3 linked regions of the Caenorhabditis elegans genome follow. The protein of the gene in region 1 interacts with the protein of each later gene in a pairwise test. Each region holds a gene or a part of one and is shown on either strand. Other genes may lie near its edges. The genes, in order: sec-16A.1, csn-4 and uaf-1.

Region 1 (7,334 bases):
TATCAGCAAACAAATCAGAACTTCAGGAACTTCATAATATTCATGTAAGATTTATTTTTTTAAACACAAGTTTAAAACTGAAAATAATTTCAGAACCACATTCGAATGATGACTTTGCGAGATTCATATGAAAATTCGGGTACACGAAAAGCTTCAGAACTTCAATTTTTCGAGAAATACCCAGAAAGTAACATTCTGAAGATTAGTGTGAACATGGTGTCTAAGCCATGGACAGTGCTTGTACCTAGATACAATCCCCCCTTCTATTGTAAGCCTGCGGAAGATTTTCCATCAGATGTGCAAAAGTATGTTGATATTGCCACGGAGCAAAATGTTGGAGAACTAAAACGAATTTGGAGAAGCCGTCAGGCAAATGATGTTACTAGTAGTAATGATAAATGTTGGAAGCTCTCAGCTGCCGGCTTCCCATTGAATCCGAATGGTCGAACTGGAATGGCTGGAAGAGGAAATCATCCGAGATTTGGTGCTAATCGACGTTGTTATTATGTCGTTTTGAGTGGTGGAGTTGAAGCGAAATGTCAAGTTCTAGTTGATAGTCAGAAGAATATTCCAAATGAATGGCATCTGGAGAACTCGTCGAAAGATGAACATCTGACATCTATTTTGAAGATGATTGGAATTTCAGATTCTGACGCTCATGTAAGTAACCAAAAAGATTACTTTTAAAAATTTGTGATGTATTTTCAGATGTTTTCAATGCGACGTTTGGATAGCTCAATTATCACTGCGGACAAAAGAATACCATCCAATGACACGAGTCCTGCTCATTTGGCTTCAGAAGTTGCAGAAAATGAAAACGATACAGACAACGCGTGGACGGAGCATGATGTTTGGGCTATTTCTCTCCGAGAACGACGTATAATAACCACAATTATCGGTTATTCGTGGCTTCCTACGAGTGCAATTCGTGGAACAGTGCTTCCATGGCAAGCAGATCTTGTTTTCCGAGCAAAGACAATATACGGGTTATAATGCTACAACTTTCATAAATTATGAATTCACTTAAATTGTTATTCGATGTTTGTTTTTTAAAGCTGATAGCTAAGAGATAATTTAATAAAGCTTGGAAGAATAAAAATAAAGCACTCACCAAAACACATATAATGAGAGGCCTAACAAAAAATGTAGGGGTACTGTAGCAGTTTTGAAACAAATTTTTCTAAATATTGTAGAGCGATTGTTGGTTAGGTTTGCGGAGTGTTGTGCAGTAAAACTGTAAGAACTGTCGCGAATGCGGAGAACCAAGAATACTTCTCCTTGTCGCCACTTTATTACTTAATATTATTTCCTTTAATTTAACACAATTATTATGTATATTCATTAATTAATTATCGTCATCTTCCTTGTTTTTCCCGTTATTTTTGGTCCGTTTAGGTGTGACACGGAGATAAAAGATACCTTAGCAAAATAAGTTCTTTTCGTGAAAAAACAAATCTTCGTATTTATTAAACAACTTTGTTTCTGTTAACAAATAAATAAATCCTTGCTTTCGATTTTACGATTTTGTGGCTACGGTACACAATGTTCACTCCGCAAGCACCGAAACTGACGACAGTTTTTCTATCAGTTATTTTTTTCATTCAACCTCGAACTTTTTTCGCGTTTATTCATTTCTCGCGTGAACTTTTTGTCTTATTTTATTTTTAAGCTTGGCTTCACGTGGCACCGCGCTTTTAACACATCCGTGCGGCGTTTTGAATTGAACTTTAAATTGGAAATTCCCAAAAACCCACGATTTTTATGGATTTCGAATGGAAAATGCGGCGATACAGGGTAAGATTTCCCAAAATTGTAATTTTAAATCTTAAGGCCATTAAGAAAACAAGTAAAAACCGAATTTATTTTACCATTTGGAAGAATAAAAAACAAAATTCATATCATTTTCCCATTCACTTTCACCTGTTCGTATCACTTCCAACAAAGGAAAACTGAACTATTCTTGTTTTCAATTTTCCCATTTTCCCATATTCCCCACAGCAGCCCTTTCCGTGCATTTTTGCGTCGCCGTGTTGGCACTAAAGTGACACGGTTGACCTCAATTTGCCCCTTCTTTTCTTTTCTTCCCTTGTCTTCTGCCTCTCTATATTTACCCAACAGACTTTAACATCTCGACACTTAACTTGTATATTCGCCTAATTTATTACAGATCGATTCTATGAAGTATGAACAACGAATGAATGCCGGAGGTATGATAAAATTCGATTTATCAACAATTTTTATCAATCACTATTCATTTTCAGCTTCTGGTTTCGATATGAGTGACTGGAATAATCCTTACAATGCTTCACCTCCGTCTTCTAGAGGAGGCGATGATGACGCTTCATCCGTTAACCATTCAAGGTCAGTGAATACAAGAATTTCACACGCCGATCGATATCTTTTCATCGCTTTTTTTTCAGGCCTCGACGCAGTCGGCTGGACAACGATATTCCACAACCAAGAAGACCCATTCTTATTCAACCAGCTCGCCCAGTATCTCAAAAGAGTAACCGGCAGGGTACTGGAATGAGTAATGGTTCAAGAGGCCTCAACTCAACTTTCAATGGATATGACCGTACTTATTCAAGGTTTAAAACAAGGGAGTTTCTTCTTCTAATTATGGAAATTTGCAGATATCACCAAAACTCTTCACGTGGCCCAAGCGAAGGTTTCTCTGGTGCTCCTTCAGCTCGAAATGCATCTGGATATGCGAGTGATTACGCGAATAGTCGTGCTGGTGTGGGATTGCTGCCGAACAACCACCGTGAGCCTGTGAGACCACGATCAACTGCTGCTGAAAGATATGCGAACGCATCTTCAATGAGAAATGGTTTTGTATATGATAGTGGAGAGTCTGATAAGACTTCAGAAGAGCTGGAAGAAGACGAAGAAGAGGAAGAAGTACGAAATTTTTATATGGAAGGACGAGCACAAGGCTCCAGGAGTGTAACAAATACCCTTGCCTCTGAAGTTTATAATAGCGAAAGTGAAAGCTATTACTACGGAGTTGTGAAACTTGGCTCTGCTATTGTTGATCATGTGTTCCGAACGATGCCTCCTCCGGAAAAATACTATAAGATGCCGCCAATCGACCGTGTCGCTTATGTATTCTACTGTGCCGTTAATAACAAACCTTACAACAATATTGATGAGTTTCACGTAATTTTTAATCGTGAATTCTACTCCTACCGCGGGTATGGTGATTCTAAAGATCTGGCACTTTTTAAGGTAAGATTACTGACAAAATTGAATTGCTTCATATTTTAAATTACAGGTTTGCAAGCGGATGCAAGAAGAATTCTCCCTGAAGCAACTGGAAGCCGACAGATTGGCGTACGAAAAAGCACGACAAGAAGCTGCAGAGAGCGAGAAACTGGATTTCAATCAGTGAGTATGGAACCAACGGTACAATGAGCAAAAATATTATTATAGGCATAAAATCGAGGAACGCGAAGAGCCAAAACTTAACATCTCGCAACCCGAAGAAGTGTTGAGCAACGGACCACTTCATTATCACTCCTGCCTTCAGTTTGCTACCATTGGTGTTGGAGGAAAATTGGTGATCATTAAACCAGCGGGAACCATCGATAGTATCACTGGACATGTTCTAAGTACATCCAGCGTTCATGTGGATGATCTGAAAACATTTCTTCATTTCGATGAACAATCTGGAAAAGTGATCGAATCAGTTCAGAACTTTAAAGGACCACTGATTGCTGGACAAACTCCAACTCATTCCGTTCGTCTCTACATCCAACGACAAATCGACGCTCTTCGCCAGATCAGAAATGCTGGTGACGTAAAGAAAAGTGAGGTGGTGGATGCTCTTCTCGTCTGGCAATTGCTCGAAATCATGGTTCAGCAACATGGAGTAAGAATTGTTTTAATTTGAGAACTTAGTAGGAATTTAACATTTTAAGAGAGTCACCGGACCCGATGTAGCAACACTGCTGACAAATGCCTCGGAAGAACTTGGTGAAAAAACTGGAATTTCAAGCAATGGGACATCCGAGTCTGGTTCGAAGTTCGAAGCAAAGGAGCGGTTCAATAAGTATCTTCTTGGTGGTCACATTAATGTAATTTTGTCTAATCTTGTTAATTAAATAATTATAATTTTTCAGGAAGCTGTTGAAAGTGCTATAACCGATGGACTCTATGCCGACGCAATGACATTGATCCGTAGACTGCATCCAAATGACGCTAAGAAAATTGAGGAAATCGAGGCACGATTTATGAATCTTCGTTCCATTGACGATCCATTCGCAACACTGGTTGCAGTTTCAAGTGATCAACCACCTCCGATTCTGACGAATTCGGCGTTCGATGATGACAACAATTGGAAACGACATGCGGCCATTGTTCTTGCGAATCTAAACTCGCAGACCGCTATGCAAACGGTACGGCAGGAGAAAAGCAAAACTAAAACTGTAAAATTTTTTTCAGATCTATCATCTCGGCTTGCTCCTAGCAAAAAGAGAACGAAACTGTGCTGCTGATTTCTGTCTCCTTGTTGTATGCATTCTGGCTGGTTATGATCCATTTATTCCAGTGGCTCACGACGGAGATGAAACTTCGAGAAAGCACATCGGCCTTGTGCATAGTGGATCTAACTTGTTGAATCGAGTTGATGGACTATCAGGAACCGCTGGGTAAGATTACTTAACACAATATGCATAACATAAAACATGCTTTTCAGATTCTCATTCACTGATCTTCATGCTACTGATATTTTTGATTATGCTCTCCGACTGGGAAATAACAATGTCGATTCACCACTAGCAAAATCGATTGATTATCAGTTAGCTCGTATTGAATACGCAAAGAAGCTGTCGTCTTTTGGTGGATTTGCTACGGATGCGTTCAGATATTGTACAGAAGTAGCAAGATCGTTGTGGATGTATGTCGCAGCTTTCGATAAAAATGCAATGTTTGATCTTTGCGATCTGGCTGAGAGTCTTCAATACATGGCTGCCGCAACTCCTGATGAAAGTGGTTGGATTACAACTATGAGAGGAATGCTAGGTGCAGCTCCAGTTCAAGAATCTCAACAACATGTTCCACAGCCACAACCAGTGGAAAACAAATCTATTTCGTCTGAAGCTAAAAAATGGCATGATGAGCATCAAGCGCCGCTGGAGATTGGATCACGTAACGATCAACAACATAACGATAAAACTGTCGAGAAACCAATTGCACCCGGACGTGCTTCTTTGCCTCCACCTACCCTGGTTACTGAATCGTCATCTGAATCGACATTTACAGATAAATCCGATTCTTCGGTTACTGTCGCTGCGTCAGCATCAAGAACTTCAACGTTGACCTCATCCACTTTACCACCACCACCATCCCTTCCAAAAACTATCGAAAAACCAATCTCAACACCACCACCAATTTCTAAAAATGTTGTTCCTGAGATGACGCCTCCAGCGATTGTGAAGCCACCGATGCCAACGTTATCGATGCCTATTCCACCTGTCAGTACTCCAATCATGGTATCACCTCAACCTATTCCTATTCCGAAACCTGTTGACGCCAGCATTGCAAAAAGTCCTCGTTCGGAACTGGATGATTTATGGGACACTTCACCGCCAAGCAATCAAACTTCATATCCACCTGCACCGCGAAATATTCAACCATCTTATTCGCCTGCACCTAACTTTGCAAACCCAACAGCTCCAAGTGTACCAACACCACCACCAGCCGTTTCTTCTGCTCCGGTTCTTCAACAAGCAACACTAGGACAAGCATCTATTCCAAATGCTAAAACTGTGAGTTTTCTGTGAAACCTTCAGAATGACAAGTAATTATTTTTAATTATTAAAGACTGCGCCGCCTGTCCCACAGAAACAACCTGAACTTGCATTGAATGAACGAAAAGCATCTAAAGGATGGTTCGGATCGATTAAGGAAAAAGTCATCAAATCGATTCCATCAGCAAACCAAATGATCCTGCCTGACGATTCAAAGCCAAGTGTATGTTAATTTGAAAGCCGATTTTTTGAATATCAAATATTCATTTGTTCAGATCGTTTGGGATCCTGTTCAGAAAAGATATGTTGGTGCTGGAGTAGAAGAAGAGGTCGTAGCTGCTCCACCGCCAGTCATGTCAGCTCCTCATTTGATGGGTGGAGGTCCTGATTCTAACAAATCGAGCACGAATAGTCTGCGAAGTGCTAGAAGTGGAGTTGGATCACGATATCTTCAATCGGGAATGGCCACTAGCCAAGCACCAGCTATGGACACTGGAATGCCACCGATGATGCCTCCAACCATGCCAATGTCATTCAGCTTTATGCCTGCACCCACTGAAGGTATAATTAATTGAGAATTAGTTTTTTCTTCAATTAATTTCATTTTCAGATGATTCCTCCGAATATGTTGATCCATTCAGCGGTGAACCAACGGCTCCTTCCGAATCATTATCCAAACAGAATAACGATTAATATGCTTCAATTCTTCCAAATTATATGTGTTGTCGTCCCCATCGCCTTTTGTATCCCCCTCCCACCCACTATCATTCTTTCAAATAACCATTTCCTGTTATCTGGTCAGGCCCGTTTCCTCTAAAAACTTCTGTGATTATTCCATAGTATCTTCCTTCTTTTTTGTTGTGCAACTATATATGTTACGGTTTTATCTGAAAAATAAGTAGGCTAGTTTTTCTTTGTTCTGACGAGAAAATATGTGCTCTGAATTGATTCTCTGGTAAATAAATATATACTGAAATGAATAAATATAATGTACCGTGAAATCACTATTTGAATTTTACATTTGAAATCGAATTAAAAACAAAACAAAAAACTAATCGAATACCATTATTTCGCAAATTCGAAAATGTATCAACTGGACGTGAGTTTTCTCTTAATATTTCTGATTGATGTTCGAATATTTAAAGTCTTGGTACTCAGTGCTCTTCGAGCTTCTTCTCGTCGGTTTTTCTCTCTACAACTCGCTCAGAATGACTACTTGGTGGGATACCGTAGCCAGTAGGTCACAATTATTTTCAGGCAGTTTCCAGAAAAAAGATTTTCAGAAGGAGCATCTATCGCAGTGAATGGAGCAGCGAAACATTCACCTTCGGTCGCTGATCACTACGGTATTCGTACTGATAAAAATAGTGTTAGAAGCTATAGAAAGAGTAGCGTCGTGAGTTTTATTGAGACTAATTGAATAAATGTGTATATTTCCAAAATTTCAGAGATCACCAATTACGTTCGAAATGGGAGATGGGATTGAAGTAGCTCACTGATGGATCGTAATTTATTGGAAAAATGACGTTCAGAATAAATTTGATATTGATTAATTTTTGTCCACATTCTAGTAGGCCAGGCAGG
Region 2 (4,911 bases), on another chromosome or scaffold:
TAAAATCTGACAATTTAGGTCGAAAAATGACTGGAAAACTTTAATTTTTGACTGAAAATTCAAAATTTTCTGCTGAAATTTACCGAAAACATTTCTAACTGAAAATTTGAATTTTCACCGGAATTCCGCTGTTTCTGCTGAAAATCTAACAATTTCGGCTGAAATTCGCCGAAAACCTAAATTTTCCACTGTAAATCCAATAATTTAGGTCGAAAAATGGCCGAAAAACTTGAATTTTACCTGAAAATGTGCATTTTTGACTGAAAATGTGACCGGAAACATCAATTTTCTTTTGTTTTGCTTCACTTTTTTAAAGTTTTCTTCAGTTTTTGCATTAAAATAACTGATTTTTCACAGCTGGAAACCCTCACAAAACCCGGAATTTTCGCTAAAAATAGGCAATTTTCAGTCAAAAGTCAACTGAAATTCTTCCAAAAAACGTCAAAATTTCCAAAAAAAATCCCCCAATTCCAGACAACACATTCAATTTTTGCTAAAAATTCCAAAAAAAAATATCAGCAAACTGACAGAAAATTTTCAAGTTTTAATCAAAATTGGCCAATTTTCCTTTTGAAAAACCTCAACTTTTCGGTTCAAGCTCAGAAAATTAGCTGAAAATCCGAAATTTTCAACTGAAATTTCTTTAAATCAACTCAAAAATGCAAAAAATTGAATGAAAAAATCGAAAACTCAGCCAAAAATCGGCCATTTTCAACTCTGAAAAATGCCAAATTTTCAGGTAAAAATTCCTCAAAACCCCCCGAAATTTTGGCTAAAAATGTCAATTTCCAGCGCATAAAACTTGTAAATTTTCAATCAAAATTCTGAAAAATCCCGAATTTTAAACTAAAATTCCTTCTTTTTTTTCAGAAACAATGGACGCCGTCGTCAACAACATTTTCGACCTCTACGCTGGAAAACGACTGGCAATTAAGCTCGCCACAGACGCCGCCAGCACAATTCTCAAAGTTGATCAGATTATTATGTCAAAGCAGGCGACTGGAGGACCAAAACCACGTGGACCAAAGGCTCAAGATGAGGATGACGATGGAATGGCCTAATTTTTTTGTGTGCATTTTTGCTGAAAAATTGGGGAAATTTGAGTGAAAATGAGCTGAAAATCGATTTTTCAGCGAAATTTTAGACAATTTTCCCCCACTTTTTCAGATTTTCCCCTCGAATTTCCCCGCCGTTTCCCTGGGAATTGAGCTGAAATTGCAATTATCTTGAAAATTCGCTTAACAGTTTTTAGCTCATTTTCCACCATTTTTCCCCGTATTTTTTAAATTTTCCCGCTCTATATGCCTTCTCCGTATGATTTTTTGCAATTTCCCCGTTTTTATTGATTTTCGCTGGAAAATGAGCTGAAAATTCGATTTTTGCTTAAAAATTAATTTTTTTTTTTTAACGCGAAAATTCAGTTCCAAATTTACTCGATTTTGGTCAAATTTAGCTAAAAATTTGCATTTTTCAGCCAAAATTTTCCAGTTTTTGCCAGAAAATGGGCTTAAAATTGTCATTTTCTTCTGAAAAATCGAACTTTTGCCCCATTTTCAGCCGAATTTCAGCCTTTTTCCTCCAATTCTCCATAATTTTTAATGCTATCCCCCAACCCGTTCTGAATCTGAAAATCACAGTTTATGATCTTAAAATTGCGCCTTAAATTCTATAATTTTCAGCTTTTCCCCCTCGAAATTTTGTTTTTTTTTCTCGTTTTTTGCTTCACGTTGTGTTTGTTATAAAATTCTCCAAAAAAATCACAAAAAATTAGAAATTTTAAAGAAAAAATAGTCGAATTTCCTATATTTTTATCTGAAAATTCCCCCCAAAATTTTGTTGTAAAATTTCCACAATTTCAGCTGAAAATGAGCGGCGAAATTGAACGTTCACAGGAGGTGGCGGTCATTTTTGCACAGGATACCGATCACAAGGCTCAATATGAAGCGTAATATTTTTGGATTTTTGAGAAAATTTGGAGCTAAAAATGTGAAAATCTGGAAATTTTTAGCAAAAAATCCCAAATTTTTGTATTTTTCATTGGAAAATCTGAATTTTGTAAATTTTCAGCTGAAAAAATATGAAAAAAAAAAAACGATTTTAGCTATGTAGAAATTTTGAAAAAAAAACGAATTTTCACGCAAAAACATTTCCTAATTTAAAAAATTAGTAAAATTCGCGAAAAATTGAAATTTTTATCTTTTTTTTCCAGAAAATCTGAAATTTTCAAATTTTTATACTTAAAATCTGAAAAATTCTATTTAAAAACTCAAGTTTTCATTTATTTTCTACGAATTTTGAAATGAAAAATTCTTACAAATCCCGCACTTTTTTCGTTCAAAAATTGGAAAAAAACTAATTATTAGCTAAAAAATTTCCAATTTTTGTATCAAAAAACTCGAAAATTCTCAAATTAAAAAAATTTTTTAATTTTTTTGCTGAAAATCACGCTAAAAATTTCAGCTTTTTCACGTAAAATGTGATTTTCTGAAATTTCATGTAATTTTTTAGCTAAAAAGCCGAAATTTTCTCGATTTTCAGACAAAAAATTCCCCGATTTTTGCAGATTGGCGAAGCTTTGCAACAAATATTTGCCACAAAATGCGATGGGACGAGTCGATACGGCGGAAATTATTAAAATCATTGATACAGGTTGGAACACGACGAAAATTTCGGATTTTTCAGTGGGAATCTGGCTAAAAATTACGAAAAATGATGAGTTTTGGTGAAAAAATGGACGAAAATCGCTCAAAATTGGACAATTTGGTTGGAATCTGGCTGAAAATCGATAAATCTCGATAAAAATTGACGGAAAACGAGAACATTTTCGGAATTCCTGTTGAAATTTAGCTGGAAATAAATAAATTACATTGAAAAAAATTTTTTTTTGAATTTTTGGAGCTGAAAATTGGCAGAAAATCCGATTTTTTCAGGAAAAATCTTTAAAAATTTACATTTTTTTTTACAAAATGGACTCAAAATTAGCTTAAATCGCTCAAAAAAGGCTGAAAATTCCATATTTTAAGTGAAATATTTTAAGTGAAAAATATGGAATTTTCAGCCTTTTTCGAGCGATTTAAGCTAATTTTGAGTCCATTTTGTAAAAAAAAATGTAAATTTTTAAAGATTTTTCCTGAAAAAATCGGATTTTCTGCCAATATTCAGCTCCAAATCCAAAAAAAAAAATTTTTCAATGTAATTTATGAATTTTCACAAAAATCCAATTTTTCGTTCGTTTTCTGCAGTTTTGTTTTTTTTTTTTGAAAAGTTAAAAATTTCCTTTAAAAAACGCGAAATTTCCAATTTTTCACGGTAAATGTGATTTTCAGCCAGTAGTTTTCAACCGTTTTTTCGCGGGAAAAATTGAATTTCTAAAGATTTTCCTCGAACAATTCGATTTTTCCGGTATAAAAAGCGACCTTTTACCGATTTTTCACAGAAAATTCAGATTTTGAGCCTTTTTCACCCTCAGAAGCCAAAAAAAACCCCCAAAAATTGGATTTTTCTTGAAAAATTTGAATTAAGAAACTCAAATTTTCAAACCGTTTTTCCACGGAAAAAGTGCGTTTTTCAACGATTTTTCTCGAAAATTCTCAATGTTCTGCGTTTTTAAGCGATTTTCAGCTGATTTTTCACGAAAAAATCGAGTTTTCAGGGATTTTGATATATTTTTCTTGAAAAAATCGGATTTTCAGCTGTTTTTTCCACGGAAAAAGTGATTATTTAACTTTTTTTCCAGAATAATTGGATTTTCAGCCAATTTTAGGCTTAAAATAGGGCCTTTTAACGAAAAATGTGACTTTTAGGACATTTTTCAATTTTTCGCATAAAATTAAATAAAAATGGAATTTTTTTACCATTTTTTTTTCAAATTTTCAGGTTCAAAATAAAGCTTTAAAAAAGTGGAAATTTCTAGTTTTTAGGCTTAAAATAGGCTTCTTAGACGAAGATTTTCAAGCTTTTCGTTAAAAAAAACAGGAAAAAATTAATATTTGTATAAAAAAATTGAATTATCAGCTAAAAATTACAATTTTTGCACTGTTTCAGTGCAAAATTTGTATTTCTTTTAGAATTTTTAGCAGCCTATAACCCCAAAAATGTTTGCAGTAATCGCATTGGAGACTGGAAGTATGGTTGTATCACGTCAATTTGTATCACTTATCACTGAAAGATTGGATAATCAACATTTGGAATCAGAATGTGTTAAGGCTATTTCAGAAGGAATTTTGGCGATTATTAAGACTCGAACCATCTCTTATGAGGATCAGGTACTTGGAAATGCACTGCAACTTTTTCCTCACGAGGGACGAGGAACAGTGGTTTCTAGGCCATGGCCGAGGGGCCGACAAGTTTCAGCGGCCATTTATCTTGCTTTGTTTTCCGCCTGTTTTCTTTCGTTTTTCACAGCTTTTTCCCGTTTTTTCTTATTAAAACTGATAAATAAATATTTTTTGCAGATGATAAAACAATTTCGAAGTAAAAAAATTATGTATTCAGTGGGCAAGCAGCGGTGAAAGTGGGCATTGTAATATGATGGATTACGGGAATACAAAACCTAAATTTTTTCTGAAACATGATACATATGATGCTTAGATGCTGAAGCTACCTGATTTTCATATCAAGACCGCTGAAAAAGTTTTGAGGTTTCCAAAATTCAACTTTTTGTGCGAAAATCTCGACTTTTTCACCAAAAAAGTTGAATTGTGGAAATCTCAAAACTTTTTCAGCGGTCTCGTTATGAAAATCAGGTAATTTCAGCATCTAAGCATCATATGTATCATGTTTCAGAAAAAGGTTAGGTTTTGTATTCCCGTAATCCATCATATTGCATTGACCACTTTCACCGCTGCTTGCCCACTGAATACATAATTTTTTTACTTGGAAATTGTTTTAGCATCTGCAAAAAATATTGAT
Region 3 (4,704 bases), 8.1 Mb from region 1:
TTTCACATAATTCTTGTCAAATTTCACACATTTTCAGTGCCTTTAAGCCCCGTTTTTTTGCTATAAAATTGCAACATTTTTCCTGTAATTTATTGGATTTTTGTGTTATTTTTTCTCTCGTTTTCAGCGATTTTCAGCATATCTTCATCGATTTTTTGCAGATTTTCAGCTATTTTTTTATCGATTTTTTTGGGAGATTTTTGTCATTTTTCACCTAATTTTATTGATTTTCAGCCTAATTTTGTGTGTGCTTTTACCCATTTTTCTATTATTTCCATCATTTTCCCCGAAATTTTATAGATTCTACCTATTTTTCAGCAAAATCTCATTTTTCAGCGATTTTTCATCATTTAAGCTATTTTTTATCGATTTTCACCGAATTTTCAGCTATTTTATCAGAAAAATCTCAGTTTTTTCCGGCAAATTCACTCAAATTTCGCCTATTTTAGCGAGGAGCTCTTTTTTCCAGCATTTTCACCGAATTTTCTTTTTTTTTCGTAAAAAAATCACCAAATTTCCTCATTTCCAACCTATTTTCTCCATTTTTTCGCGGTTTTTCCCGAATTTTAAACAATTTTTCGCCAAAAAACCCCAAATTTCTTCATTTCCAACCTTTTTATTCCATATTTTCGCCATTTTCTCGGGATTTTCAGCTATTTTTTCCAGAAAAACTCCTATTTTTTCGGCAAATTCACTCAAATACCGTTTATTTTCTCACAATTTATCGTTTTGGAGCTATTTTTCCAGCATTTTCACCGAATTTTAAGCAATTTTTTAAAAAATCACCAAATTTCCTCATTTTCGTCCAATTTTCTCCATTTTTTCGCGATTTTGAGCAATTTTTTCCAGAAAAACTCCAAATTTTCTCACTTTCACCCTATTTTTTTCCATATTTTCGCCATTTTGTCGGGTTTTTCAGCTATTTTTTCAGAAAAACCTCCATTTTTTCGCGATTTCCACCGAATTTTCAACGATTTTTCCAAAAAATCGCCAAATTTCCTCATTTTCGCCCAATTGTCTCCATTTTTCCGCGGTTTTCCCCTGATTTTCGGCTATTTTTTTTTTCAGAGAAACTCATTTTTTCGCGATTTCCACCGAATTTTCAGCTATTTTTCCATTAAAAAAACCCATTTTTTCGTGAATTTCTCCGAATTTTCGGTTTTTTTTTTCAGAAAATTCGGAAAAATTGGAATTTTTCACTGAAAACTCTGAAAAATTCAATAAAAATTGGATATTTTTACTAAAAACTCGGGAAAATTCGTGAAAATTGCCGTTTTTCACGTGAAAATTCGAGAAAAATTGAAAAATGTGGAATTAGTATCCAAAAATGCTCTCGGAGCCCAAAATTCAGGAAAATCCTGAAAAAATTAACCAATTTTACTCAGAAAACTGCAAAATTTTTTTTTCAGTTTTTCTCGCAAAAATGTGCTAAACTCTCAGATTAAAATTCAATTTTCCGTGGCAAATGTGCTCTATCGGTGATTTTGGTGTGAAAATTCCAAACTTTTGCATTAGAAATTACAAAATTTTGGAATTTTCCACCCGAAATTGCTCACAGGAGCACATTTGACCACTTTCCCGGGGAACCTCTGCCCAAATTTTCAAATTTTTCCATCCATTTTCTCCGGATTTTCAGCTCTATTTTTTAAAGAAAATTCCCAATTTTCCAGATGAGTGATCACCAGGATGGCATGAAACTTGAAGATATTGAACGCCAATTTTTGGACGTTGCTCAACGTGAAGGAGGTCTCGAAGCGATTCAGCCGACCACTGGACCACTGGAAAATGAAGAAAATCTGAAATCATCGACTGGTGGTGGTGGTGGAGAGGATGATAATGATCGGAAAAAGAGAAAACGATCGAGAAGTAGAGATCGCGATACGAGAAGACGCTCGAGAAGGTGCTTAAGCTGGAAAAAATTGCATTTTTTGACGGAATATTCGAGAATTTTCGTGGAAAACTCGGCGAAAATCGAGTTTTCCGCTAGAAAATTGACCCAAAATCGGATTTTTAGGAGGAAATTTTGTTTTTTTTTGGCCAGAATTACGCTGAAAATCGCTTTTTGCATGAAAAACGGCTTAAAAATGACTTCAAACCCAGAAAATCAACATTTTTAGAGCAAAAATTCGAGGATTTTCGTCGAAAACTCTGCGAAAATCGAGTTTTCCGCTAGAAAATGGTCTAAATTTGAAGAAAATTGACCCAAAATCGGATTTTCAGAGCGAAATTTGATGATTTTCCATGAAAAACACTACCGAAAATCCCATTTTTCCTGCCAAAAAACTCTTTAAAAAATCGATTTTTGCTTGAAGAAATCCACCAAAATTTTCATTTTCTTTGCCAAAAATCTATGAAAAATCGATTTTTTCACAGGAAAAGCGGAAAAGATGCAATTTTAGCTGAAAATCCACCGAAAATTCGCATTTTTTACTTTGAAAAATCGCAAAAAATCGATTTTTCCTTCCAAAAACCTCCAAAAAATTGCAATTTTAGCTGAATTTCCACGGAAAAGTCAAATTTTCTGTCCAAAAGTTTGCAAAAATTCGATTTTCAGTTGGAAAATTGCGTTTTTTGGTCAAATTCCACCGAAAATTCCCATTTTTTAACCTAAAAAGTTGTAAAATATCGATTTTTCCTGCCGAAAACCCCGAAATTTTCAGTCGTGGAAGCGAGAAATCGCAATTTTAGCTAAATTTCCCACGAAAATTCCCATTTTTTTAACCTAAAAAGTAACGATAAAATCCATTTTCCTGTTCAAAAACTCGCCAAAAATAGATTTTTTAATTAAATTCCACCAAAAAAATTCGCATTTTTCCGCCCAAAAACCTCCAAAAAGTCCCAATTTTAGCTGAATTTCCATTGAAAAGTCTAATTTTCTGTCCAAAAAACCGCAAAAAATCGATTTTCCAGTGGAAAATTGCGTTCTTTGGTCAAATTTTACCTAAAAATTTTGAATTTTTACAATAAAAAGTGGCGGTTTTTACTCAAATTGTACTGAAAAACGCAATAAGAATGGTTTTTCTGTCCAAAAATTTGCGAAAAATCCATCTTTCCGCCCAAAAACCTTCAAAAAATCGCAATTTTAGCTGAGTTTCCACGGAAAAGTCAAATTTTCTGTCCAAAAGTTGGCGAAAAATCGAATTTCCAGTGGAAAATTGCGAAAATTTACATTTTTAACTTAAAAAATCGATTTTTCCTTCCAAAAACCTGCGCGAATCTGACAAAAATTGCAATTTTTCTGCATGAAAACTCATTTTTCTAGCCAAAAAAGTGCGCAAAAATCGATTTTTCCCCTGGAAAATTGCGATTTTAGCTGAAAATCACTGAAAATCCGCATTTTTTAACCTAAAAAATCGCAAAAAATCGATTTTTCCCGCCAAAAACCTGCGAAGCTGCCAAAAATTGCAATTTTTCTGCATGAAAACTCATTTTTCTAGCCAAAAAATCGCGAGAAAATCGATTTTTCCCGCCAAAAACCTGCGAAACTGCCAAAAATTGCAATTTTTCTGCATGAAAACTCATTTTTCTAGCCAAAAAATCGCGAAAAAATCGATTTTTCCCGCCAAAAACCTGCGAAACTGCCAAAAATTGCAATTTTTCTAGCCAAAAAATTGCAAAAAAAATCGATTTTTACACTGGAAAATTGCGATTTTAGCTGAAAGTCACTGAAAATCCGCATTTTTTAACCTAAAAAATCGCAAAAAAATCGATTTTTCCCGGCAAAAAACCCCAAAAACCCCCCATTTTCAGTCGTGATCGTGGAGAACGTCGTGGTGGTGGAGGTGGAGGTGATCGTGATCGTTCTCGATCCCGTGAACGTCGTCGAGGCGGTGGTGGTCGTGATGAGCCGAGACGTCGTGGAGGTGATGATGAAGCCCGTTCGCGCCGTGAGCCGGAGCCCCAGAAGCCTCGTGAGCCCAAAAAGTACCGATTCTGGGATGTTCCGCCGACTGGATTCGAGACAACTACACCGATGGAGTACAAGAATATGCAGGCGGCTGGACAGGTTCCACGTGGATCTGTACAGTCTGCAGTGCCCGTTGTTGGTACGGAAAAATGGAATTTTTCGCCTGACAATTCGGAAAAATTCGAGAAAATTGGCGGTTTTTGCCTGAAAATTCGGAAAAATTCGAGAAAATTGGCAGTTTTCACTGAAAATTCGGAAAAATTCGAGAAAATTGGCAGTTTTCACTGAAAATTCGGAAAAATTCGAGAAAATTGGCAGTTTTCACTGAAAATTCGGAAAAATTCGAGAAAATTGGCAGTTTTCACTGAAAATTCGGAAAAATTCGAGAAAATTGGCAGTTTTTGCCTGAAAATTCGGAAAAATTCGAGAAAATTGGCAGTTTTCACTGAAAATTCGGAAAAATTCGAGAAAATTGGCAGTTTTCACTGAAAATTCGAGAAAATTCGATTTTTTCACTGAAAATTCGGAAAAATTCGAATTTTTCATCGAAAATTCGGAAAAATTCGAATTTTTCATCGAAAATTCAATAAAAATTGGATATTTTTACTAAAAACTCGGGAAAATTCGTGAAAATTGCCGTTTTTCACGTGAAAATTCGGGAAAATTTGAATTTTTCACTGAAAAATCGGAAAAATTGGATTTTTTACTGAAAATTCGGAAAAATTGGATTTTTTCACTGAAAACTCTGAAAAATTCAATAAAAATTGGATATTTTTACTAAAAACTCGGGAAAATTC

Evidence for each region.
Region 2: the proteins of sec-16A.1 (region 1) and csn-4 interact in a two-hybrid assay, tested with the Caenorhabditis elegans proteins (one large-scale study listed by BioGRID).
Region 3: the proteins of sec-16A.1 (region 1) and uaf-1 interact in a two-hybrid assay, tested with the Caenorhabditis elegans proteins (one large-scale study listed by BioGRID).

What each region holds. Positions count from the first base shown.
Region 1 is NC_003281.10:9,124,060-9,131,393, forward strand, and holds sec-16A.1 (Protein transport protein sec-16A.1), read left to right. Parts: upstream 1-1,779; coding exon 1,780-1,794; intron 1,795-2,167; coding exon 2,168-2,207; intron 2,208-2,261; coding exon 2,262-2,361; intron 2,362-2,420; coding exon 2,421-2,588; intron 2,589-2,633; coding exon 2,634-3,228; intron 3,229-3,274; coding exon 3,275-3,387; intron 3,388-3,432; coding exon 3,433-3,871; intron 3,872-3,920; coding exon 3,921-4,076; intron 4,077-4,121; coding exon 4,122-4,397; intron 4,398-4,443; coding exon 4,444-4,649; intron 4,650-4,696; coding exon 4,697-5,768; intron 5,769-5,823; coding exon 5,824-5,973; intron 5,974-6,025; coding exon 6,026-6,311; intron 6,312-6,360; coding exon 6,361-6,443; 3' UTR 6,444-6,748; downstream 6,749-7,334. Other genes in the region: Protein ced-11, read left to right, coding at 1-44, 94-660, 709-993; ZK512.10 (DUF4752 family protein), read left to right, coding at 6,835-6,849, 6,896-6,986, 7,034-7,146, 7,199-7,249. UniProt on the Caenorhabditis elegans protein: Plays a role in the organization of the endoplasmic reticulum exit sites (ERES), also known as transitional endoplasmic reticulum (tER).
Region 2 is NC_003282.8:1,083,962-1,088,872, reverse strand, and holds the start of csn-4 (COP9 signalosome complex subunit 4), read left to right. Parts: upstream 1-1,859; 5' UTR 1,860-1,865; coding exon 1,866-1,945; intron 1,946-2,563; coding exon 2,564-2,649; intron 2,650-4,104; coding exon 4,105-4,265; intron 4,266-4,911. Other genes in the region: cct-8 (T-complex protein 1 subunit theta), read left to right, coding at 871-1,061. UniProt on the Caenorhabditis elegans protein: Component of the COP9 signalosome complex (CSN), a complex involved in various cellular and developmental processes.
Region 3 is NC_003281.10:1,073,522-1,078,225, reverse strand, and holds the start of uaf-1 (Splicing factor U2AF 65 kDa subunit), read left to right. Parts: upstream 1-1,670; coding exon 1,671-1,900; intron 1,901-3,750; coding exon 3,751-4,046; intron 4,047-4,704. UniProt on the Caenorhabditis elegans protein: Necessary for the splicing of pre-mRNA. Binds to the polypyrimidine tract of introns early during spliceosome assembly.